5 linked regions of the Cricetulus griseus genome follow. The protein of the gene in region 3 interacts with the protein of the main gene of each other region in a pairwise test. Links are inferred from orthologs where the notes say so. Each region holds a gene or a part of one and is shown on either strand. Other genes may lie near its edges.

Evidence for each region.
Region 1: the proteins of protein LDOC1-like (region 3) and pleckstrin homology domain-containing family F member 2 interact in binary tests that used the Homo sapiens proteins (3 or more experiments, as listed by UniProt). The two-hybrid records come from large-scale screens. The link is inferred for Cricetulus griseus from reciprocal best matches to the Homo sapiens genes LDOC1 and PLEKHF2.
Region 2: the proteins of protein LDOC1-like (region 3) and Psmf1 interact in binary tests that used the Homo sapiens proteins (3 or more experiments, as listed by UniProt). The two-hybrid records come from large-scale screens. The link is inferred for Cricetulus griseus from reciprocal best matches to the Homo sapiens genes LDOC1 and PSMF1.
Region 4: the proteins of protein LDOC1-like (region 3) and Krt15 interact in a two-hybrid assay, tested with the Homo sapiens proteins (2 studies listed by BioGRID and IntAct). The two-hybrid records come from large-scale screens. The link is inferred for Cricetulus griseus from reciprocal best matches to the Homo sapiens genes LDOC1 and KRT15.
Region 5: the proteins of protein LDOC1-like (region 3) and Nxf1 interact in binary tests that used the Homo sapiens proteins (3 or more experiments, as listed by UniProt). The two-hybrid records come from large-scale screens. The link is inferred for Cricetulus griseus from reciprocal best matches to the Homo sapiens genes LDOC1 and NXF1.

What each region holds. Positions count from the first base shown.
Region 1 is NC_048595.1:125,130,164-125,135,700, reverse strand, and holds the start of pleckstrin homology domain-containing family F member 2, read left to right. Parts: upstream 1-2,031; 5' UTR 2,032-2,313; intron 2,314-5,537. UniProt on the Homo sapiens protein: May play a role in early endosome fusion upstream of RAB5, hence regulating receptor trafficking and fluid-phase transport. Enhances cellular sensitivity to TNF-induced apoptosis.
Region 2 is NC_048599.1:28,279,249-28,284,503, reverse strand, and holds the start of Psmf1 (proteasome inhibitor PI31 subunit), read right to left. Parts: upstream 3,507-5,255; 5' UTR 3,360-3,506; coding exon 3,231-3,359; intron 1-3,230. UniProt on the Homo sapiens protein: Plays an important role in control of proteasome function. Inhibits the hydrolysis of protein and peptide substrates by the 20S proteasome. Also inhibits the activation of the proteasome by the proteasome regulatory proteins PA700 and PA28.
Region 3 is NC_048604.1:11,335,814-11,339,396, forward strand, and holds protein LDOC1-like, read right to left. Parts: upstream 1,721-3,583; coding exon 1,268-1,720; downstream 1-1,267. UniProt on the Homo sapiens protein: May have an important role in the development and/or progression of some cancers.
Region 4 is NC_048600.1:112,451,570-112,457,003, forward strand, and holds the start of Krt15 (keratin, type I cytoskeletal 15), read left to right. Parts: upstream 1-1,928; coding exon 1,929-2,417; intron 2,418-3,278; coding exon 3,279-3,361; intron 3,362-3,479; coding exon 3,480-3,636; intron 3,637-4,041; coding exon 4,042-4,203; intron 4,204-4,302; coding exon 4,303-4,428; intron 4,429-4,586; coding exon 4,587-4,807; intron 4,808-5,201; coding exon 5,202-5,227; coding exon of another isoform or gene 5,228-5,237; intron 5,238-5,434.
Region 5 is NC_048596.1:51,335,578-51,341,035, reverse strand, and holds the start of Nxf1 (nuclear RNA export factor 1), read left to right. Parts: upstream 1-1,952; 5' UTR 1,953-2,107; coding exon 2,108-2,135; intron 2,136-5,458.

The DNA.
Region 1 (5,537 bases), on a different chromosome or scaffold from region 3:
GATTGAAACTCAAATTTTACTATTTCAAGCCTTTCTATGTGTAGACTTTTGCTAGACTTCCTACAGTCTATCCCCCCCCACCCCCCCGCCCGCCCCATTGGCAGCCTGTCGATTAGTTTCAGCTTTATCCTCTTGTCATGCTGAGAGGTGAGGGTGGTTGACAGCTCTCACCAAGTGAACAGTCAGGGCTGAGTCAGGTCTCAAATGCCATTAGGGGACTTTTGTTCAGCTTGCTATATGTTATCCACCAGAACAGTGTCAGCAACGAACCAGATCTTAAATTTAAAACTTATTAAATACATGAGCTTAGTGCCAGTATGACTCTAAATAAATGGCTTTCAAACTGGGGAGCACACATCCAAGGAAGGGAGGAGAATACAGAGACTGACGGAGCATTCCAAATATTTAAACCATTGTTTGGTATGTTTTAATACTTTAAAATGAGGTAAATTGTAATAGATGTGTGCACACATACACAACATACAGATGTATAATTTTCATCATACTTACCTAGCACTCAGCTTGTGCTTGCATACTGGTTTAATGACTCTTTGAGATACTTTCTTTTGTTATCCCTATTTTACACATGAAGGAACTAAGGTTAACTGAGTATATCCAAGGACACAGTATTATAGTTAGTGGCAAAGCGAAAACTTTCTGGCTTGCATCTGTGTACTTTATTTAAATTAAATAAGTGTTTTGTTAGGAAAGGGAATGTTTTTATGGATGACATGAACAACCAAAAATGTTTGGTGTCTAATGCTCTATAATGGACCACACAGACAAAGCAGTTCCTAAAGGCATCTTAGATCGTGCTTAGTCTAACACATGTAAAGATTGTGTGCGCATGATTGAAATCCTGTAACTATCCCTAGTATCACAATTGGTTTCCTTTGCCAATTTTGTTGCAGAGGGTGGGGAGGATGTAAAGAATTCCAGACATAAGGAGTTCCAAACCTGCTCATCCACTTTCACTCCAGGCTTATTTGTGGAAATCGTGGTTGGTGGACGCACTAATTCAACAAAAACTACAGCAGTGGTTCTCAACCCTCCTAATGCTGCCCAAAGATCCTTTAATACAGTTCCTAATGTGTGGTGACGCCCCGACCATAAAAAACTATTTTTGTTGCTACTTTACAACTATAGTTTTGCTACTGTTATGAGTTGTAATGTATCTTTCTCCCCCCCCCCCCGTTGGTCTTAGGTGACTCCTTTGAAAAGGTCATTCGACCTCAAAGAGGCCGAGACCCACAGATTGAGAAACTATGAACTAGAAGTTCTGAAAAAAAGAAAAAAAAAAAAAAAACAACAACCTGAAATAAAATTTACTCTAACCCATTTTCTACCCCTCCCTATTTAAACAGTGTGCTTTATATGTTATCCCCACCCCCCTGGTTGGATACATCTCTCTCTCCACAGCGCCTAAGCAAACTCTCGGTGTTGAGGGACTGAGGAGCCAGGGCTCGTCTCACTAACGTTATCTTAGCGCGGGGTTCTAGGTACGCGAAGCAGGTAGTGGAGGCCGTGCGTGGCCAGAGAAGTTTCGAGAAGAGCGGAGCTCTAAGGCTCACAGTTACAAGGAAGTGTGCGGGAGCAGGGTGCGGTAAGCGCAGAGCGAAGATGGCTCGAGGGGGTAGGCGTTGGGAGAACGCGATCGCAGGTGCTCGGCAGCATGGCCGAGCCAGGCGGGGCTGGCAGACGCGTTTGGGTGGCGAAAGGCAAAGCCTTTCTTTCCTGTTCCTTAGGGAGGCGTGGAGGCAGCTTCCGTCCATTCTTCCCGAGAACTTCGCGGACCGCTCCACAGCTCTTTCCCAAGGCTAGCGCGAGTCAGGAAAGTCAGGTTAGGCGACCCAGGCTTGCCCGGGCCCGCCTCTGCGCGCGTCACCTCGGAGCAGAGAAGTGCGCCCCGCAGCCCCGCCCCGGGAGGTCCCCCCAGTGGGTGTGGTCTCCGCCAACGGCCCCGCCCCTCAGGCCTGTCGCGCGGGGATGGGGGCGGGGCAAGGCGATGGGCGGGGCGAGGGAACCGGGAAGAAAGGGCAGGGCGGATGTGCTCGTGCCCGTGTTTGGCGCTTGAGCGAGGGCGCGCCGGTGCGCGCGCAGGAGGGAGGCCAGCGGGGCGGCCGTTGTCGGGTTCGACAGGAGGGGCGGTGAAGTCACCTGCGAGCGTTCGCGCCCGTCGCGTCCCCGTCGCGCCGGCCTCGCGGGGCCCCACACACCGTGCGAAGCTGGGGCCCGGGCACAGGCAGAGTCCGCGGCTGGAGTCGGCGACGAGGACGAGTCGCAGCCTCGGCGCCGCCGCCCGCGCCGGGCCGGGTAGGTGCCGCGGGGGTCGATCGGGACGCGCAGGGCGGCGGCGGGCTGCGGAGGGGGAAGGAAAGTTTGCGGGCGCCTGCTCCCGCGGGCCGGGACCGGCCGCGGCGCGGGGAGGTGTTGGCCCGGGCGGCGGCGGCCGACGCCATGTTGGGGTCTGTGGGAAACGGGGCGCTCCCGGGCGGCTCCCCTCCGGGCTGGCGCTCGGGCTGGAACCGCCTTGGTCCCGCCGCGCCCGTCCGCGGCACGCCGGCCCGAGGGCAGGGACCCGGGACGGCGGCTGGGGACGGGACCCCGCGTCGTGCCCGAAGTTGTGGGGCGCCAGCACTCTGGCCCCCAGATCGTGCGGTCTGAAAACTTCGCAGGCTCTGGGCGTCAGGGGCGCGCTGTGACTTGAGCAGCGTATTTTGTATGACTTTATATGAAAATGGCACCGCAGAAATTGGCTCTGATGGGAGCAGCGGCTTACAAGATATTTAAAGCAATGGCTTACAAGCTATTTGGAGTGTTTAAAGTTTTATGATCTTTTGCTGACTCTTTTTTTTAAACGTTATTAGAGGTGAGATCTGGTTCCCGAAGCTGTTCGGAGTAGCCTTGTATACTCCTAGAATATTAAAGCTGTAAGTTGTGTTCAGTGTGCAGTGGAAATGAAGAAAATTCAGGTTACACCTAAGCAGCAATTCAGACTCCTAGTACGTGAAATTGGTAAATGCCTTCTTTGTTTTTTTTTTTTTTTTTTTTTTTTTTTTTTACCTTGCCTAAGAGACTCATTAAAGAAACATTTAGACATGAACGTTCACTTGAGAAGTTAAGGCATATGTTACTTTCTTAAGAATAAAGTCCAGTATGTTGGCTGTACTCAGCAGACTGGGGCCGGAGGATCCTTGAGTTCGAGGCCAGCCTGGACTACAGAGTGAGCCTGTCAGAATAAACCCCCCTCCAGACCACCCAACCACACAAACAGAATAGGGTGACGTGATCTTGACGTTTCTTTTTTTTTTTTTTTCCACTCTTTTTCCTTTTGGTTCCTTATTGGTGCGTGAGTTTTGGCCTTTATCTCTTTCTGTACTCTTGTAGCTTATGGGGGCCTCGGCTTAATTCAGAATTAACAAAGGTTATTTTTAATTACCGTGGGTCATGATAGCATTGGGAGGTGGATGGTATTAAGTTGCTTGTTTGGAAAGCACATGTAATCGTCCTCCCCCAGACGAAACTGGTGTACAACATGATTAAGCCTAGTCAATGAATATCATTTAAAAAAAAAATAAAGACAGCTTTAAAATTACATTAAATGGGCTAAAAGGCTCTTAATGCAAAAGCCCTAAAATGTGTCGATTTTTACTCTTACTTAAAAAAAACACTCATTTGTGTGTTGGGGGGGGGGCACACATCCTCAGAGCACTTGTGGAGAGGTCAAAACAAATTACCAGAGTTTCTTTTTTCCACCACGTGAGTTATGGGATCCAACTTAGGTGGTTTGGCTTGGGGGCCAGCACTTTTCTTTCTGAGCCACCTTTAGTTATCATTTATTTGTTTGTTTATTTATTTATTTGTGTGTGCACGAGGGTGTGCAGGCAGTCATGTGTCAAGGTGTGGAAGTCAAAGGATAACTTTTGGGAGTTGTTTCTCTCCTTCCACCTTGGGCTGTGAGGCCTGGCCTCAAGTGCCTTAACCCACTGAGCTGTCTCGATGCCCCCTCATTTCATTCTTTAATAGGTAAAAGTACCTTCTTATATTTGTCACCTTCCTTGGTTCTTTAAAAAAATTATTTTACTTTGCTGCATTGTCAGGTCAATTATATCATAAACATTAATTCTTTCACAAAAATTTATTTATTTATTTATTAAGAAAGGAGTTACCTGACTTCGATGTCACAAATCTAGCAGTCAAGCTGATCGTTAAGTGAAGTCTTATACTAATATCCCTATGGGGCCTTCTTTGCCCATCTTGTTTCTTCTTTCCTGTACCTCCTCTTCTGATTTGGATTTAGCTTTCTAGTATAACTGTCTCCCAAGGAGCTGAAAATGCAAGGCTATGCTGTTGAGATTTTTTTCCCCTTGCAAACATTCTGTTAACGCTGGGGTGTTATAGTGGAGCATGCCTGTAATCCCAGCACGTTGAGGCAGGATTGCAGAGTTTGATCTGGGATGCAAAGTGGGAACTTGTCTCAAAACCAAACCCAAACAGAACCAAAACAACCTCTCTCCTGTACTTTTTGAAGCCTTTCTGCCCACATTGTGGTTGTGCTTCCTCTTGTTCCCCACAACTCAGTTCCCTTCCCCCACAGGGTCCTGGAAGCATTGCTTAGCTCTGTGGCATGTCCTTGACAGTGGGCATCGAGTGCGGTACTCTTTGCTTGTCTCTCTCCAGCAAGCTGAGAACATAGCAGATGCTCAGGAAAGGTTTGAATGGATTCCTTGTAAATATGCTTCATGAATTTACTAGATTGTCATTTCTGTGGGACAGTTGTTAAACTTCTGTTGTCTTTCTGCTTCATACTGTGAACTCCATGAAGTCCACAGATTGTGGTCAGACTCTTCCTTTCTAAAAATAATTAACTTTGGTAACTGAACTTTGATGGGGATACAGACTTGAATATTTATGAAATTTCCAATTGGATAATGACTGACATGTAATTGTGATGAGTGGAGAGAAGCTAAGGATGAACTTTGAAAGGATGACATCACTGCTTTAAAGTGTGACTGAATATTTTGCCCTTAATAGAAACATTAATGCCTAGAAAATGAGAAGGTTATGTTTGTGTATATATACCATTCAATTAAACACATTTTGTTGTGGTTTTGTCATAATTGTCTTAGAATTTTGATTCAGAGGCAGTGATCATTGAAAGGTGAATAAATCTGCTTTTCTATTGATAGTCTTTGAGACTCAGCTTTACATACAAGCTCTTTGCTTCTGTAGCAGTCCTCAGGCTGATGTATAAATAAGAATGCTTCCTAAGTGTGCTTTTGCACTGCTAATTTAAGTAGTGAAATTTTTCTAGGTGTTTTATAATTTTGTAAGGACTGTAAAATTTGGATTAATTTCTTGTCCTCACCTAAGATAAGTCTTTTTTTAGTCTGTATATTTGTTTGTTTTTTTGAGACAGGGTCTCACGTAGCCTAGGCTGCCCTCCAGCACCATATGTAGTTGAGGATAACCTTAGGCTCCCAATCTTCATGCCTCTAGTCCTTCCCCTACTGTACCTAATTTATGTTTTTGTTGTT
Region 2 (5,255 bases), on a different chromosome or scaffold from region 3:
ACTGTCCTCTGGGACACATCATGGCAATTGCACTCATGAACTCACAGCAGATATAGTTACCTACATAAGAACACGTCAACAAAATAAGCAATATCCCAGCAGGAAGCACTAACTGGACTCTGTGGGTTACAAAAGTGTGTGGGGGGGGGTTGGGGGACAGCTGAAGTGGGGATTTACATGGGGAGTGGGCAACTGGAAAATAGCTTATGGTTCAATATCATTTATGAAAAAAAAACTTTAAAAGCACAAATTTACACTGTCAACATAGAACAGCTTGACTAGAAGCTGTGTTCATGAGAACACGGTGGGGGAGAATTAGGCTAGAGATAGACAACACTGACAAAGACAAAGGCCCAGACATGAAGGGAAGGCCACCCCTGGTGCTTGGAAATCCATTGGCAGAGGAGTCCCAATCAGACTTGGCTAGGTGACAAACTACAGGAAATTCTCAAGCAGAGAAATGAGAGTAGTGAGAAAACAGAAGTGAAACTAACCACTGCCGAGAAACTACTCCTTTGCCTAGACTGGGCAACTCCTATAGTGTTGTGGGTTTTAAGGAGTAACTTTTGAAGATGGGGTGACATGCCTTATCTATATTCTGTCAAGACCTCTGACTTTCCCTTACCTCCACTTGTACAGCATTCGTCCCACTAGTATGCTCTCTTGGCATACAGACAACTTGTTCTGCTCTCCACCTCAACACTTTCATTCCAGAGCAAGACAGAATCGCTGGGGTCATGTAAAGCTGACATCTCACCATGGTGAGACCGGTGTTCCCCAGAAAACAGAAGTGGCCCAAGACATCAAGTGGCCGCCCTCTGCACCTTGATATAAAATAATATCAAGTGTCCCAGAAGGCCATGGTTGGCAAGTGACCAAAGCATGCTTGTATAATTTAACTCCCTCAGTTGATAACTCTAAGACCTGAGAGGAGCTGAGACCTATTGAAGGGCAGTGCAGGGCAGGCTGGAGATTTTCTCCAGACAGTCCTAAGAAGGTAAGGGTAGCTGCCATCCTAGGTGAAATTCTGAGGCTAGAAATATCCTTTAATGGTTACTGAGCTCACCCCAGGGCCAATGGGCTAGAATGTAACCAACCAACCAACACACCACACACACAAACAGGTCCTTTTCCCTTTCTTCATAATCTTCAGACTCCCATAACAGAAAGCCCAATTCTGTCTCTATGGCCATCTCCATGCCGTGCCACTTAAGCCATCTGACATAGCTACGGAGCTCTTATGGAGAGTAGCCCTGACCAATAGAGAGACCAAACCAATGTCAGATTTTTGTTTAAGTCAAGGGATCTGTTGGTCTTCAAATCAAATATTACACACACTGCTCTACAGTGGCAGACACAAAACCAAAGAGAAAGTGGACAATATAGCATTCTGTTTAACTGCTGAGTCGGTATTACACAGTCCAGTACATACTTTAAATACTTGTTTCCCTGTTATCACCCCCTGGAAGGGTGGATGGCAGGAGGCGGCTAGACAGGCAATACAAATAAATACACTCTATGTCTGGCAAGCATTATTGATTTGCTGGCTCTAAACTGGAAAATAAAAATTCTCTACTAGATAAACTAACAGGAAAGATGCCTCTCAAATTCTTTTGGCTTCTATTCTGAATGAGAGAACACTCGTTGGCAGTGAGTGGCCAAGGGCAACCTGAGCCCTGAGAGGACTTTAAGAGATGGGGCTACAAGAAACAAATGGCAGCACTCTAGTCCGAACCCAAACACTGTCCCCTCGAAGGGCATGCATGATTTAGTACGGAGGCAGACAGGGTCAGCAGGCAATACTTTCCAAAACCCCATCTCCCAGGCTCCTTGTCCTTCCAGAAGATGTCTGGATCCTGCATCTTTTAGTGCTGGGGAGCTACTTGAGGTTTGGGAGGAAACGGGGAAAGAAATCAACAAAAATTTTGTGTATTGCTTCCTTCTAATGAGGGTAAAGTGTAAACAGGGTAGAGTGGTCTGAGTTCCTAGTTTTATAGGACAGACAGGAATGGAACTCCAGCAGGGCTATGCCTGGTTAAGTGCTCAGAATGTTGAAAGTGTGTCAAAGGAGGAGTCCATAAAGTTGTGTGAGGAGAGAAAACATACCAAGACTCTAATGTATCTAAGAAGCTAAAGATTGTAGGGTTTTGGGAACCGTAGTTAGAAATGAGAGGAAGATTTAAAATCTCTCTGTAAGTTCCAGGGGGTGAGGGGACCTTCTTTCCAGGACTGGTCTGAATTTTGAGTGCCAAGACAGCAACATAGAGGGGCAAGCCTGGAGTCCTTGAGTCTCCAAGTACGTGTATGTGGGATTGTGGCTGGGAGTTCCTTTGGTGGAGCAGATAGGAAATGAAAGGCAGTAAGGGGACCAGGGCCAGTTTACCCAAAAACCTGCTACACAGGTAGACATGAGGGTCATAAGGAAGGGGCAGAGAAAAGGAGAAGGCTAGGGCAGAGAATCAGTGATGCATACTGGACCTCTATGGGGATGTCAACAAGGCCCCATCAGTTAAGAGGCAGAATCTGGAGATAGGAGAATAGATTGGATTCTGGTGGAGACAGCTAAGGGAAGAACACTCACAAAGAAGGCGTGTGTGTGCTGTAGATGAGTAGTGAGTGGGCTCTGGCTGGTCCATCGTGCTAAGTGTGTGTATGTGTGTGGGGGGGAGGGGGTTCTAGAATATGGCTGAGTAGATCAAAGCTCACCACCACAGCTGTGCTTGGTGTGCGTGTGACTTGAATGGTGTGTGTGATTGTGTGTGTGATGTGTGTGTGTGTGTGTGGGGTTCTAGAATATGGCTGAGGAGGTCAAAGCTCACCACCACAGCTGTGCTTGGTGTGCGTGTGACTTGAATGGTGTGTGTGATTGTGTGTGTGGTGTGTGTGTGTGTGTGTGTGTGTGTGTGTGTGTGTGTGTGACTTGAATGGGGTGTGTAGCATTGAGTAGTCCACGCCATGACTGTGTGTGATAAAGATGCTTTGGGGAAGTCGGGTGGATGAGGACTTTAAGGAAGCTACTAGTCTGTCTCGGCGTCAGATCCACACGACTCGGCCTGAGTGAAAGCGCCGGGACGCCTTTCGGTTACACACACGCTGTGCCAGCTGCTGGCACCAGCTCCAGGCGCGCCAAAGTGCGGCGTCACCTCGGGCCCTGGCTCGGCAGGGTCAGGCGAGCCCTCTGGGCCTCTGGTTGCGGGCTCCCCTCCACCCAGGCCTGCTCCGCAGCGTACCTGGTCGCCTGTGCCCAAGACATAGTAGCCGTTTGTCACCACTTCCCAGTGCAGGAAGCAGACGAGCGCGTCCTGCGGGCAGCTGATGGCAGGCGCGGCCGACGCGAAGAGAACCTCCAGGCCCGCCATGGACGCTCGCGGCTTCTGTGGGGAAGGAAGGAAAGGAGCTGGCAAAGAGCAAGCCGCGCCGCCTCAGAGGAGCGGGACGGCGAAAGCGGCAACACCAGGGGTGTTCCTTTCGCTTTGGGCTCTGTCCGCACCTGCGCGGAAACGCAGAAACCTGTGCCGGAAATAGCTCTTAGCTTTGTAGGCGCTCCGGGCTGGAACCGCCGGCGCCGCGCTGGAAGGTTCCGTTAGGGAGCACACGAGCGGGGCCGCGACTTCTCACAGCCCGATTCTGCTTCCGTCTACAGCACACCGACCACTCGAAGGCAGGCAGTTTATTCTTGGAGAGAGGCCACCTTGCTGCCAACTACAGTAGGCTTCTCATCTGCAAAGTGGAGTGCACTAGGGTGGGAAGTACTTAAGCAGTCTGGTGTAGATGTTTTCATAGTAATTTATTAGCATGCCTGCAGTGCCTGCCTGATAGCACCTTATTCTACGTGCTGAGCTTGAATGCATTTATTGAACTCTCCCAGATTAAATTTTATGCGGTTGGTATTAATGAAAGTACTGTTCCACTTTGTAGATTTGGAAACTGTGTCACTGTCAGCCAGTAAGTGATAGAGATGCGCCCAGGGGCTAGCAACTTGGCTTCTAGGATAGCATTTGAACATATAGATTTCACACTAAATCCTGTGCTAAAGCCTTTACGTCTCCTCGCGACAAATTCATGGGTCTATTCTATTACCTCTCCTAACTTTGCAAGTGACAAAACAGACCAGAGAGTTGTTGGCGCCCATGAGCGAATAGCCAAATATTATCAGTTGTTCTCCTACCTACCTCAAGATTTTTTTTTTTTACCACCTATTATGTCTCCCAAGTTTTTTGAAGTCCAGTACTTTTTTTGTAGTCAAATAAATTCACTTTCCCCATTTTGGTTGATACCATGACCCAAGCCATTGTCTTTTTTCACCTGGATACCTTTTCTGCTACACGATTTCACCCTGCAACCAGAGGGATTCTGCTGAAACACAAGGAGGACCATGTTCCTTAGGTCCAAACCACCCAGGGCTCCCTCCACAAAGGAGAAGAGAAGTCCACTCTGGGTCTGCCACAGGCCCTATGCCTTTCTAATGTCTCTTCCAAGTGTCCCTTCATCTCCTGTTCTCCTGACTGTAATAACTTTGACTTCCTTCAGCTCTCATGTCTAGGTGAACAAGCCATAGTCTTACCCTGATGGAGCTGTTTAGTGGTTAAAAAAGAACAGACAAAAATTAGTCCAGGGTGAAACCTGCCATTTTGGAAGTGCTCAGAGGCCTGTGCAAGCCCACAGGAATCCTGTGATTCAGGTGAGGGTCAGGAAGGGTTTCTTGAAGAAAGAGATGGATGACAGTATAGAAATCTGGTGGAAGAATAAAGAAAAACGTTCCTGTGAAAGGGAACAGGATGTGCAAAGGCACCTAGGTGTGAAATTCAGCTCTCCCTGTGTGGCTGGAGAATCAACACTGTCTCTCTCATCTCGGGCTCACCTTTAACTACCCTCCACACTGTGCTTTCAGAGTCGGCGGCATGCTGGGGAGTGGGGGCAGGCATGCAGCAGAGAAAGCTATCAGCACCAGTAGGGAGGAGAATTTTATCACTGAAGTATGTTAGAATTGTTGGTTCGTGATGATAATAAAAGGCCTTTTGGTCAGCTTTATTAATGCTTTTACGTGCCCCCCTTTTTGTAATGCAGCCTCTTCATGAGCAGCCTGTTCTCTTACTACTATCCCTTGTTTCCACACTGTTTTGCATATCATTGATTATGGCTTGCAGCCTACACACCTCCCTTTTCTTTTATACACCATTGGCTATCTTAGCATGGCTTCTCCAAAAGCCAGTGCTGAAGGCATGGTGGCATGTGTCTGTAATCCCAGCATTTGG
Region 3 (3,583 bases):
TATTGGATGTCTGAGCTCAGCAGTCACCCACAAGTAACAAGGACCATGGCCAGAACTTCCCTGCTGTGTTAGGAAACTTAATTATGTCCAGGAATATGTCTGTGCTATTTGTCTTATTATTACTAATGCCCCCTTGTAGGGGAAGCTGTAGCCATGCCCAGGGGCTGGCTACAGCTTCCCCTACACCCCCTTCATTCTACAAAGTCACCTAATGTGACATGGTATGCCCCCTACTCAGACACCCCTTTATATGCCACCTTGGAGGCTCCACACAATATTCTTTCACCAAAGCTTGTAAAACACTATGGTATCTCTCTTCTGGAGCCTAGAGGTGAAAGCAAGAATACTGGAATTGAACCAGGTTCCCTGATCTCAATGAAATAATGGAGACGAGCGTGGCAAAAGCCAATGACGTCACTTAACCATGAAAAGACAACCTTTTTAGTTTTGCAGTGCTTGCTATTTATTGAAAACAATGCCATTGCCTTTTCCAGGTACTAGAGAGGATCTGGGCTGAATGCCTGTTGGCTCATTTTTTATTTTAGTACTACTTGTCCACATGTACACATCTGTGAGGCTGCTGCAAATCTGAAAGAAAAATGACAGCTGTGCAAAAGCGATGCATACAGGAAACGAAATGTCAACATTTCAACAGTCAGGCAGGCACATCAGGCTCCTGCAGCAATCTGGTCCGGCAGAGGAGGAACCTGGAAGTAGGTACAGAACTAACCAGGCTGTAAGAATGGCCCCTTCTAGGAGGGTTGGTGAACTGTCCAAATGAGAGTCTGAATAGATGTAGCCAACTCCATCATCTTCTTCCTGGTCCATATCTTGAAAAGTGGATGGCTGCAGATGAGATGCAGTGGGGGGTGGTGGTGGGGGGGGGTGAGGTGACAGGCATCCACTTCTGGCAGATGTAGATGGCGATCCATCAGAAGCCAGCGGCAGGAATGCAGGTGGTCTGACGAGTTCTAACACAGGCCTGGACAATGGCTGGAGCTCAAAACACAGTTCAGATTAGAAAGGTGCCCGGATTGGTTAAAATTGAACACTGTGAACCTCAGAGCCAGGCCCAGGCCCAACTCAAGCACTCGTAGCAGGTAATTGGCACAAAGACAAGCACTAAAAGGGATGAAGGAGCGAAGTGATTGGCAGGGAAGAGAATGGCAATGCAAAGGGGGGCACGGAGGCAGCAGGAGTAGCGGTGGGGGTAGGGAGGACGCAGCGTGCAGGGTCCTCCTCATGTAGGCCTAAGGGGGCTCGGGGCCTAGCAATCAACCGCTTCACAGTCGTCGTCATCATCATCATCATCATCTTCGTCGTCATACCAGCCAAAACACTGCTTCATCTCTTCAACAAACGCGCGATAATCACAGAGAATGGCGCTATCTGTCTGGATGTACGGCACCACCCAATCCTCGGCTTTCCCGGAGAGGAGGCTGATCAGGAATGCCACTTTCATGGCGTCGTTGCAGAAGCGGTCCTCATTCACAAGCATGTAGGACATCGTCTGCACAATAAACTCGGGGAGCCGGGCGTTCTCGCCATTAAACGGTGAGGGGAAGGGCACCGGACAGCTGGGCGGACGTACCTGGCGCAGCAGAATGGCCCGCTCACACACCAGCAGCCGCAGCTGTTTCATGAGCCGGTTGTTCTCGATGCACAGGTCGCGGTGTCGCACCAGCAGCGCGTGCAGAAGCAACACCAGCTCGTCCACCATGGTGACTCGCTTGGCAGGTCTCGGGCTCTCGGGCTCGGATCGGCTCCGCGGAGCTGCTCAAGGAGGCCGTAGAGGAAGTGCGTGTCCTCAGAGGAGTGCTGACCCTGGGCACTGCGCAGAGGGGGTCTAGCTGGTGGCGGAAGCTCCACCCACAAGGTCACTCTGGCAGCCAATGCGCCAGCGCACTGCGGTGAGAAAGGCGTGGCGGAGGGGAGTGCTGGTGGCGTGGGGGTGTGGCCAGGGTGGGACTGACGGACCGAGTGGACGTGGCCCAGGAGGAGGAAGGCGTGACCAAGGGAGCATCGCCCCGGGCCTCTGTCAATTCCCCCAGCCTGATGAAGAAACGCTGGGGGAGCCAAGCCTGCCACAGTGGAGGGCTGTGCGAGCATAGAAGCTCAGCACTCAGGGCTGGCCTGCTTCAGCTTAAACTTCTCTGCAGCCGACCTGTTCATCCAATACAGTGTTCCTCGGTGGGCCTGCAGCCATCAACATTTTTTTAGAGTAATGCTTTCTTAACACATTTCCTTGCTTGTTTAAATTTCACCCAGAGAAATAACACTGACACTGAGGGTCATACTGCGGGAGATCATTTGAGTTTAGAGACTTCAAGACTTGCAAGGGGTGCTTTCATTAAATACATAAGTAATTGTCAACAGGGGCTTCTCTTCAGTTGAGACAATTTCACCAAAAGATCTCCAAATCTGCACAGAGTATCCATTTGCCAACATTCTATCTTTGATTCTTTCCATATTCCTGTTATCAGTGCCTTTGTTCCTAAGTTATAAACTGTGATGAGCTCTGTAAAATAACTTTGTCTGCCTATTTTAAACGTCATTAGTTGTCGATAACTAAGTTTGGTCCAGGATCCTTGAGCTGATAGCTATTGGGTCTGCTTTTTAAAATACATCTCCACATTCAGTCACTTCCGGGCATCTCTGCTACCTCGATCCCAGCCTTCTTTCACGGTCTGGTCTGCTACATCTAATCCCTTAGCTGTCATTCTTCCCCTTTTCTGCATATTCTCTAGAATAGCCTCAGAACACTTTTAGAATGTGAGTTAGAGCCTTTCACTCCCCATTTCGACGTTCTCCAGCAGTTTTTCCCTCTCTGCTGCTCTGAATAAAAAGCAAACCCTTGGTCGTAACATACAAGGACCTCCTTCTGCATGCCCTTTTTACATGACCTCCTGTTGTCCTAATCTCTGCCTCGCCTGCTAATTCCTGCACACATCAAGCAGATCTCGCCTAATCTCAGAGCCTTTGTCCCTTCTAGCTATCTTTCCCCCTTTACTTGCCTACCTCATTTTATACTACTTTGAGAAAGGGCTTCCCAAACTGTCTCATCTATATGTGAATTGTCTGTCGGCATGTACAGCTCCAACCCTTACTTCACTTACCTACGTAGTATTTATTATATTAAATATCATCAGGTGCGTCCCCTTTGAAATGTCAGTCAGTGCAGCAAAGGGGCTTAGCTTTGCCAGCTGCTCTGTCCCTAATGCCTGCAAACATGCCTAGCCCACAGGAGTAACTCCAGATATCCGGCAAAGGAAAGGATCTTGAGGCACAGGTGTTGAGATAAAAATTAAAAGAGGTGACTTCACAGTATGTCCAGAAACACCCTCCAATTGCCCAGTATGTTCTAGCTCTGACCATAAAACAATCTCCCATGAAAAATGATGGCTGATGAAATAAAAGCAATGAAACAAATCCTCACAAGCAGTCTTATTTAGTTAGTCCTTTAAAATAAAATTGAACTGCCATCCGCGGAAGTAGGAGTCTAGCAAGTCAAGAGAAGAAAAGCAGGGCCATAGCTCAAGTATAGAGAAAAGGAAGGCCCACACTGGCAAAAAAAGAAACCAAG
Region 4 (5,434 bases), on a different chromosome or scaffold from region 3:
CCTGGCCTGCTGTGAAGTTGGTGAGGAGACCTCTCCCTGAGGCCTGCAGTTCTCCTTTTAACCCAGTTCAGATAACAGGAAAGTTTTCTATATCTTGCTTGGGTGGGTGGTGTGGGTGTCAGGGTGACATAGTCTTGGTAATCCCCTTTCCAGGTGGGCCGTCCTGTGTTCATGGTGTCACCCCTTTGAGTCTTCATTTCGTTCCTTCTGAAACTTGGGTCCCAGTTGTGCTCTGTGTCATGGGATTAGAGGGGATTGTGGGTACAGAAGTACTTTGTCAGTCATGAACGTATGGGGCAGAAGCAGAGGATTATCCTGTTACAGCAAAAAGAAGGGTCATCCGATGGCTAGCTGGAGCTGACGAGCCTGAGAGTGTTCCAAGTCCGAGGGAAGCGTTTTTTCCTGGAGGGGGTCTCAGGAGGTGCAGGTGCCAGACCTGCAGCTATCACCCTGCCTCAGATGGATAATGGGGAGTCAGGAGAGGCAGAATGGGAATCTTGAGTCTCAGCATGTCCCATAAAGTGAGTGTCCTATACACAAAGAGGCTGAGCCTTGAAAACTGACGAGTACAGATCTTCACAGGAGTCATTCATAGAAATGGGGTTTAAACACAGGCCCAAGGAACGCTGGAGCCCTATTCACTTTCTCGTATTGTAGCTCTCCATTAGAAGCCCTCCTGTGGATTCTCTCCAGTCTGGGTGGCACTGCCCACAGTGCCATTGTCTTAGAGAAATAGGGCTGTTAGAGCTGGTGGCAGAAGACCCTGTCCTTTTTGGCCTCAGTATTGCAGTGACTGATTCCTTGGCCTCTGAGCTCTGATGTGTTCCACCTGCTTGCCAGCCCCCCTTCCTGCCTCCGCCTTCCTCCCTGTACTTAGGCACGCAGAGCAGAGCCTCTAGCTCAGCCCCTCCCCAGCTGGCAGCAGCTGACAAGGCAAATGGGGGTTAATCTGGCCCCTGCTAAGCAGCGACATGTCTCTTGCTGAAGAAGGCGGGGGACTTTCTGGAACTCGCCTGGGTCTTATCTGCAGAGGTTTGCCCCAACGCGTCTTGGGAGCAAGCAGAGGTTCAGTGACATGTGCAGTTGGCTGGTGACAGGACCATCAATCAGACTCCTGTCAGCCTGAGCCTTCTGGGCTTTTGTGAACTAGCCAGGACCCTGGGCTGGGGGGGGAACTGAAGAGGTAGGAGGGACTTCTGGAATTGGGGTGGTGGGAGGGCTGTGAGAGGAGAGAGCATGCCCAGGTATCAGGGATGGGAGAGAGGGACAGGCACCGGCTTTTTTGGTCAACTCGTTTGGAAGTTGACTTGAGACCCTATTAGCCTGCACTGTGGTCACCTGTGTTCTCATTCCCGGGGACTTCCATGTCCCGAAGGCTATGTATAGGGCGTTTGAGTAGGTAGTACAGAGCAGTGGTGGGAGAAACTGAAAGCAGGAAGCTTTCTACCTGGGGTGAGGCTCACATGCCAGCAGTGGGCTGGGGTGGGAGGCAGAGCTGGCCTGGCTGCTCTAACGGGATGGGACATGAGGGAACTTGGGTGCTATGCTGAGGGTTTGCTCTTGTGGCTCTCTTCTCCTTCCTGGAGTGAGAAATGAACCTGTAATCCAAGTGTTAAAACCATGGCCTAGAGCAAAACCCCATTAATTCTGAATCATCTCTCTTGTTGCATTAAGAAAAAAAAAAAAGAAAAGAAAAACTCACCACAAGCGAGCCCTGTGGAGGTGTGCAGGCAGCTGTATTTGTCTGGAAGGCAGAGGAGTTGGCTCCACTCAGGGGGAGGAGGCAAGGCCCCCACCCCCTTGAAACAGTATATAAGGAATCCCAGGCTAGGGGCGACAGCACTGCAGCCTGGTTTCAGCCCAGCTCAGAAGCTCCTGCTAGAGTCCCTCCTGCTTGAAAAGGACACGAAGGCTCAGGCTGCCTGACCATGGCCACCACATTCTTGCAAACTTCTTCCACCTTTGGAGGTGGCTCTACCCGAGGGGGTTCCCTCCGTGCTGGTGGAGGCGGCTTTGGTGGAGGGAGTCTCTACGGGGGAGGTGGGAGCCGAAGCATCTCTGCTTCTTCTGCTAGGTTCGTCTCCTCGGGGGCAGGAGGGGGATATGGGGGCGGTATGAGTTGTGGTTTTGGTGGTGGTGCTGGTAGCGGTTTTGGTGGAGCCTTTGGTGGGGGTTTTGGTGGTGGCTTTGGTGACTTTGGTGGTGGCGATGGAGGTCTCCTCTCTGGCAATGAGAAGATCACCATGCAGAACCTCAATGACCGCCTGGCCTCCTACCTGGACAAAGTACGTGCCCTGGAGCAGGCTAACACGGAGCTGGAGGTGAAAATCCGAGACTGGTACCAGAAGCAGAGCCCAGCCAGTCCGGAGCGAGACTACAGCCATTACTTTAAGACCATGGAAGAGATCCGGGACAAAGTAAGTCCTCATATATATGTCAGACAGAGGGAAACAGGCAGTAGGTGCCCTGTACACATATGCAACAGCAACATTGCTGTTGACTAAGAGAGTCCTTCCCTGCTGTGTAACCTGGCAAGGCTGGGATGCACCTGCTTCCCAGGCACATGTGGGAACACACGTGTTCCACTTGGCAGTGCTGGGGGAGGGGAGGGAGTGGTCTTGGGAATCTGATTTGGATACACAGGATTGCAAATGAGGGCAACAAAAGAGAGCAGCTCCTTCTCCCTGCCTCACAAAAACTTTCAGGGATTTTTGCAACTGATTGCTTTAACTTTGTGACCCGTGTGCTGTTCAGGCACAACCTCAAGAGTCCTAAATGCCAGGGCTGTTTACTTCAGGCCTCAAGGATGTCTTTATTGTTGATCATTGCTAGATCTTAGGAGACCAGGGAACTCAGTGGAGGCTGTGCCACCCCCTCACTTTCCCTTTTAACTAACTGGATCTGTTTTCCTTAGTGGCAAACACGTTCCTTAGCTGCTGTCCAAGTTCCCAATGACTGCAATGTTTTGGAGATGAAGGGCTCTGTCAAGGCACGCAGGAGGCAGCCACTGTGAGCTGTGCCCAAGTAGGCTGGTATAGTGTGTCTCCCGAGAGTCCTGACCTGACAGAGCCAACTGTATCCATTGCAGCACGGTCTTGACTAGCCATGCCCCCAGGCAATCCCAGGCAATACTGCCTCGTTAGTTTTCCATTCCTTGAAGATGCCACAGGGAAGGGAGCATGGGCCAGCACAACTGATGCACACAGGAAGAGAAGCTGGGCAGTAGTTGGCGAAGGGGGTCGTGCAGCAGCCCTAAGGTACAACTCTGTCTCCTGCAGATACTGGCGGCCACCATTGACAACTCGCGTGTCATCTTGGAGATTGACAATGCCAGGCTGGCAGCGGATGACTTCAGGCTCAAGTGTGTTCCCATTTCTCCACCCCTGTCCATTTCACCCCCTCTACCTAGCCTTCCTCCTCTATGACTCAGAACCTGGGCCCCTCACCTTTCCTGACTTTGGCTCCTCTCCCCTCCCCAGGTATGAGAACGAGCTGGCCCTGCGCCAGAGTGTGGAGGCCGACATCAACGGGCTGCGCAGGGTGCTAGACGAGCTGACCCTGGCCAGGACCGACCTGGAGATGCAGATTGAGCACTTGAATGAGGAGCTGGCCTACCTGAAGAAGAATCACGAGGAGGTAACAGCAAGACAGGGTGGTAGGAAGAAGCCCAGGACAGCCAGTCTTTTGTCACAGTCCTCTGAGGGCTTGGGGATTAAGAAATGTACCTGGGGGGCCCCATGGAAGAGAAGGGGCACTAATCTCTGGTAATCTGGACCCAAGGCCAAGCCATGTGTGAACTGCAGAATTGGTTTGCTTCATGGGCTTATTATCTCAAGGTCCTTGTTTCTTAGGACCCAGAGCAAGAGAGATCCTCAGAACTGAGGGGTCCATGTGTTCCAATGGGGAATAGAGATAGGGTGGTGTGATGTGCTAAGGTCACATTGTGAGTTAGAGACAGTCAGAGTTAGCCCTCAGGACTCTCGATTCTTTGTCTGCTTTATAGCCTTGTCTCTAAATGGTTGTCACTCCCACCCCTTGCAGGAGATGAAAGAGTTCAGCAGTCAGCTGGCGGGCCAGGTCAATGTGGAGATGGACGCTGCACCTGGGGTGGACTTGACCCGCATGCTGGCCGAGATGAGGGAACAATATGAGGCCATTGCGGAGAAAAACCGTCGGGATGCAGAGGCCTGGTTCTTCAGTAAGGTGGGCCTGACACCCCCAGCTCTGCTCTCTCCCTCCTTCCCACTCCAGAGGCCTCTGAGGAGGCCCATGAGGCTCATGTTTCTCATGTGTGACTTGCAGACGGAAGAGCTGAACAAGGAGGTAGCTTCCAACACAGAAATGATCCAGTCCAGCAAGACGGAGATCACAGACCTGAGGCGCACCATGCAGGGGCTGGAGATCGAGCTGCAGTCCCAGCTCAGCATGGTACGGTCACTCTCTCCCTACTGGGTGACACATGGCCAGTAAAGCCTCACCTCACACATTCCTGTCACCTCAGGCAGTCCTTACCACCCTTCCTGCTCTTCTCCCTCCAGTGGGTTGCCTTCTAGCCCAATGGGTTTATGCATCTGTCACCCCACCAGAAAGCCGGGCTGGAGAACTCTCTGGCAGAGGTGGAGTGCCGCTATGCCACACAGCTGCAGCAGATCCAGGGGCTTATTAGCAGCCTGGAGAGCCAGCTGAGCGAGCTCCGCTGTGAGATGGAAGCTCAGAACCAGGAATATAACATGCTGCTGGACATCAAGACTCGGCTGGAGCAGGAGATCGCCACTTACCGCAACCTGCTTGAGGGCCAGGATGCTAAGTAGGTGTACAGGTGCAGGGAGAAAGAAGGGGGATGGATGGATGGCCCAGGGCCATCAGAAGAGGAAATCAGGGTATCCCAAGAGCTGCTTTGTTGAGTGGAAGGAGACCTAAGGGGTCTGGAGTCTCCATTCTGGTGTTCAGCTGTTACTTTGGGCATATTGTTTCTGCTCTGGACCTGTGCTTCTCCTGTAAATGATGGACAGGGCACAGGCTGCAACTCCCCATCTGTCTGTTTGGGATGGCAAGCCTGAGGGACTGACCACCAGGACTGACCTTAGAAAAGTCATTGTGGTGTGGGGGTTGGAAAGGACCGCTCAGCTGTCCACTAGGGCTCCTTTAGGGAGACTGGCGCTTTCTTCCTTGGCTTACACCCAGTGTCCCTTCTCTTTCAGGATGGCTGGCATCGGTGTCAGGGAAGGTAAGAGAGGGTGAACCCCTTCGGTGTGGGTGGGAGCAGAGCATTGGAGGCAGCATTCTACCTATAGTGGGGAGGAAGGAGGAGGAGACAGATATCCCAATGTCAGGCTACTCCTGCTCCAGATTCCCCTTCCCCAAGGACTCTAGGTGGGACTGAGATTAGAAGTTTCCTAAGAACATTCCAGGCCGAGCAGGCTTTGATAAGGGC
Region 5 (5,458 bases), on a different chromosome or scaffold from region 3:
AAAGGTAACTTTGGCAGCAAGGGGAGATAATGCCCCTCTTTGCCTCCTTGAGAGTGAGGCAAGGAAACAAAACTATCCCAGGGACCAACTTTACCATCGGGTTAGAACTTGACTGCCTTCCTCTCTTCACCATGTGAGGTGAGGAGGCTCTGAGCCCTTCAGTTGCCTGCACAAACCTGACTTTGGCTACTGGTGACTCAATCTGCCAAATGTGCTGCAAACCTGTTTCCTCCCAATTACAGCAAGACTGTCAGCCTCAGTAGTGATGTTGTCATTTCTGGGTGGGATCGTGCCCAATACCAGAACCAAAAGGGTTGAGTTGGTGGCTCTGAAGGGCCTCACTGATAAGCAGGGTAGCTTTGGAGCTGTGTACCTACAACTCCCTCCGAGAAAGGGAGCAAGTATAACAGCACTTCATTAGCAGAGTTTTCCTTTGAACTGGAGCCTAATGGATTCTTAACTGGGTGGCAGCTTCTAGGACATCTCAAGCTATGTTGGGGCCTGTTTTCCATCTGTATTCGCAAATCACGTGGCTTTGATTCTTGAATTCAGTGAAGCAAGACCTCTGTTGCTGGGAGCAGAAGAGAATTTGGACCCAGCTTTTGGCACCTTCTAAGACCCTCAGCAAATCCAAACCTGCCACTGAAAAAATGGAGGCAACCCACCTAACACAGACTCTGGAGGAAGGTTAATAAGCTATTTTGCCCTGATTAGTATTGACGTCATTGCTCCATGCCTATGGATGTCCCATCTGCTTACTCCCCCGCCCCCAGCAGGTTCAGGAATCTCAGGCCATAATAGGGTCAGCCCTAGTCACACTGAAGGTCATCTATAAGAGCTCTTGGCACACGCCTTTAATTCCAGCACTCTGCAGGAAAAAGCAGGTGGATCTCCTGAGCTTGAGGCCAATGTGGTCTGCAGAGCAAGTTCCAGGACAGCCAGGGCTACACAGAGAAACACTCCCAAAAATAAAATCCAATCACTACTATTGACTCCCTGTCCACCTAGCTGATCTGGGTCTACCTAATAGGGATGATGGTGTTTAGGACCTCGAGTGTAAAGACCAGTGCTCACTATGTCCCTGACAGGTGCATTTTATTTTTGTTTTGAGACAGTGTCTGTCTATGTAGCTTTGGCTGTCAGGGTGTTCCCTGTATGGACAATTGTGGCCTTGAACTTCCAAGTACTGGGACTAAAGAATTAAACCACCATGCCCAGTTTGATTTTTTGAAGCGAGATCTCTCTACATAGCCCTGGCTGTCCTGGAAAGTTCTATGTAGACCAAGCTGGCCTCAAACTCAGAGATCCACCTGTCTCTGCCACTCAAATGTTGGGATTAAAGGTGTGCGCCATCATGCGGGACTTGATGCTGGTTTTTTGGGGGGTGGGGAGGGGTTGTTTTTGTTTTCCTAACAATTTGTGGAGGGCCTAAAAGAGACAGGATTTCATTTAATTCACACAGGTTTCACACTTGGCTCGGTACTGAGCCAGGCGGGCTGGAGGAAGAGAAGCTGTGCATTAGTTAAGGTTCCTGCTCCGGTGGAGCTTACATTCCAATTTTCTATTTCGTCACAATCCATCGTAGAGGCGAGGAAAGCTGGGAGGGAATAGGCGTGCGGCTGTCAAGGAGCTGAGCTGCGACTTACAAGCTGCCGGGAATCTCACCGACGGAGACTGTGAGCCGTTACTCCCACTCAGAGGCTAGGTCTTCATTTTGTGTGGCTCTGGTCCCCGATTCTCAAGAATTCAGGGCTAAAGCAGCCCGCTCAACTCCAGAGCAAACCCCGACACAACTGGGACAGTGGAGAAGCAGGAAGGCAGAGACGGCCAACAAGCCATTGCGCCCCGAGCTACGGCCGTGGGCGGGCCTCGAAGGGCCTGGCCCCGCCCTCTGGAGGCAGCCCTGCTTCTGCGCAGGCGCAGAGAGCGCGTTCTCGCCCCGCGGCACCGCCCACATCCTGGGGACGTCGGCGGCGCGCGACGTGCTTCGCCGGATAAATGCGGTGGCGCCGGTCGTAGGAGCGCTTCAGTCCTGAGCGCCAAGACGTCTGGGCGTTTGGTGTCGTCAGGTTCTGCGCCTGAGCCCTCCCCTGTACCTGCCTGTGCCATGGCGGACGAAGGGAAGTCATACAACGGTTAGTTCGGGGCCTCGGGTCGGGAGGCGGCGCGGTGGGCCGGAGTGGGCGGCCCCGGCCTAGGCCGCAAGCCCGGGGGCGGGAGGCCGCGAGGAGTTCTGTGTCCGTGGGCAGCGGTGGCCGCGCGGGCAAGGATGGGGCGCCGCGGGACACAGGGGCTCCAGAGTCGCCCGGATTCTGGCGTTGGAGGACCTGTGGCTCAGGGTGGGGTGACAAGATTCCTTTGAACTTTGAGGGTGGTTGATGCCTGTCAATTGAGTTTGGCGGCCCGACTCGTCCTTTAAATGTGAGTCAGTAGTACCTTGTTCGTGGGCTGCTTTGGTGCCCTATTTTTTTTTTTCTTTTAACGCGATCAGTTGGTCTTTCAGCTTGCTCCTTAATGTTTACCAGTTTCCTAGTTCTAACAATTACCTTGATGGGTTAATTCATAGTGGTGTTTAGGACGGCATGACAGGTGATTGAATCTGGAGTTGGCTTTGCTAACCCCGACGGAGTTAAACTTTCAGGCCTTGTTTTCCGCCTCTTTCATGTGGGTATCTTGTCTTCCCAAGTTTGCGTGCGTGCGTGCGTGCGTGCGTGTGTGTGTGTGTGTGTGTGTGTGTGTGTGTGTGTGTGTATGAGATAATTTCTGTCAAGTGGCTGGAAGTGAAGATTTTTCAGTGAACCTTAATTGCACTGTGTTTTCACTAGAGTCACTTGGTGAGGGTCATTGTTTACAGGACGATAGATATGAGGTAGATTTCTTTGGAAGTCATGAACCTTTTTGTGTTTGTGTGGTGCTGATTTATCCAGGGTCTGAAAAATCCTCAGCCCAGTGAACCTTTATTTTAACTAAAATATAATTATATGGTGGGTGGCAGTGGTGCACACTTTTAATCCCAGCACTCGGGAGGCAGAGGCAGGCGGATCTGTGAGTTCCAGACCAGCCTGGTCTACAAGAGCTAGTTCCAGGACAGCCTCCAAAGCCACAGAGAAACCTTGCCTGGAAAAATAAAACAAAACAAAAAACAAACAAACAACATGTATGTATGTATGTATGTGTGTATGTATGTATGTATGTATGTATGTACGTGTTTTAACAGGATCTCCCTCCAGTTACTTTCATGTCTACCCACTCCCCAAATTCATACAACCTGAGTCCATTTAGTGTAGCTAGCATGTACTTATTTTTAAGGCTAACCATTTGGCCTTGGATAACCATTTAGGGAGTTCATCCCCGTTGAAGACTAATTCTCCCTTATAGGGCCAGTCTTAGTACCCCAGGCTGGCCTCATAGTCAGTCTTTCAGTGCAAGTCTCCCAAGTTTGGTATTGTAGGCACGTACCACGAGACTTATTATTTTGTGCTAGATGAACACTAGGCCTTGCATACACCAGGCAATCCCCTCCCATGGAGCTAAATTCTCATCCTTTTTGTTGTTGTTTTGAGATGGTCTCACTAAGTTGCCCAGTCTGACTTGAAGTTTCAAATTCTCCTGCCTCAACCTCAGTCTGTGTGTGTGTGTGTGAAGGATAAAGGTAAGCACTTTACCAGCTGAGCTGATCCTCAGTCTCCTTTTGTGTTAGTGCCTACATGTATATACATATAAACCTATACACAACGTCTGGCTTTGAACTCTACAAAGAGGAGGGTGACCTTGAGCCCCTCTGATCCTCTTGCCTTAAAAACAGTATACTGTGGCCAGGCGTTGGTGGTTCACGCCTTTAATCCCAGCACTCGGGATCTCTGTGAGTTCGAGACTTGCCTGGTCTACAAGAACTAGTTTCAGGACAGCCTCCAAAGCCACAGAGAAGCCCTGTCTTGAAAAACCAAAAAAGAAAAAATTTTAAAAAACATAAACACAGTATTTTACTGCACTTGGTTTCATTTATTTACTTTTTTTTCTTTTTCTTTCTTTTTTTTTTTTCAATATGTAGCTCTGACTGGAACTCACTGTATAGACCAAGATGAGGCTGGCCTTGAAAACTCACAGAGATCTGCCTGCCTATGTCCAGCTCATTTTCCTTTTTTTTGTTTTTTTTGTTTGTTTGTTTTTTGTTTTTTTTTCTTTCCCCTGAGACAGGGTTTCTCTGTGTAATAGCCCTGGCTGTCTGGAACTCACTTTGTACACCAGGCTGGCCTTGAACTCTCAGAGATCTGCTTCGGACACATGTGTATTAGAAAACACTCCAGGACCCTAATGTGGAACTGCCAGCTGATCCTGCATCTAGAAGTCCCTTGAGGTGCAGTCACTTCTGCTCACAGAAATGAGCATTGCCCAAATTCAGAAGGACAGTTTGAGAGCAAGGAGGTGGTGGTTGTTACTAGCTTATGTAGACCAGGCTGGTTTCTAACTCACAGAAAATCCACTTACCTCTGCCTCCCGAGTGATGGGATTAAAGGTGTGAGCCACTACCATCTGGCTATTATGTGGTTTTAAAATAGGTCATATTTGTAAGTTTTTTTTTTCATTTTTTGAGACAGGATCATGTAGTCCAGGATGGCTTTGAACTTGTGTAATTGAGGCCTCCACTTCCCATTTGCTGAGATTACAGTTGTTTCCCACATCTGGCTCTGTGGCCCTCATTTGTATGTATAGGCAAAAGATCAAAAATTTCAAGTGGTTTTCAGGGGTGCCATGTTTTACTTTTTATGTAGGAACTAGTTTCTGGTTCACTTGTTTTCTTTCAAAATTTTTTTCTTAAACATTTATTTAGGCCCAGCAGTGCTGGCACATGCCTTTAGTCCCAGCACTTTGGGAAGCAGAGGCAGGTGGATCTTTGTGAGTTAAGAGGCCAGCCTGGTCTACAGAGCAAGTTCCAGGACAACCTCCAAAGCAATACAGAGAAACCCTGTCTTGGAAAAAAAGAAAATTATTATGTATATAGTGTTCTGTCTGCATTCTAGAAGAGGGAATCAAATCCCTTTATAGATGGTTGTAAGCCACCATATGGTTGCTGGGAATTGAATTCAGTATCTCTGAAAGAACAGTCGGTACTCTTAACCTCTGAGCCATCTCTCTAGCCCTTCACTTTAATGATTTTTGACAATTTTATACATATACACAATGTGTTGTGATATTTTCACCTTTCATTACTTTTTCTTTTAAAGATTTAGTTTTCTGTCTGGTCCTTGCAGAGCCCAGAAGAAGGTATTGGGTCCCCTAGAACTACAAAGGCTACCTCCACATAGACACCTGTGCCCTGGCCAGGGGAAAGAACTTTTTATAGGTCATAAACATCAAAAAACAAGTTATTAGAAAGCTGTAGGGGGCTGAAGAGATGAGTTAAGAGCACTGACTACTCTTCCAGAGGACCAGCTTTGATTTCCCAGCATTCACATTG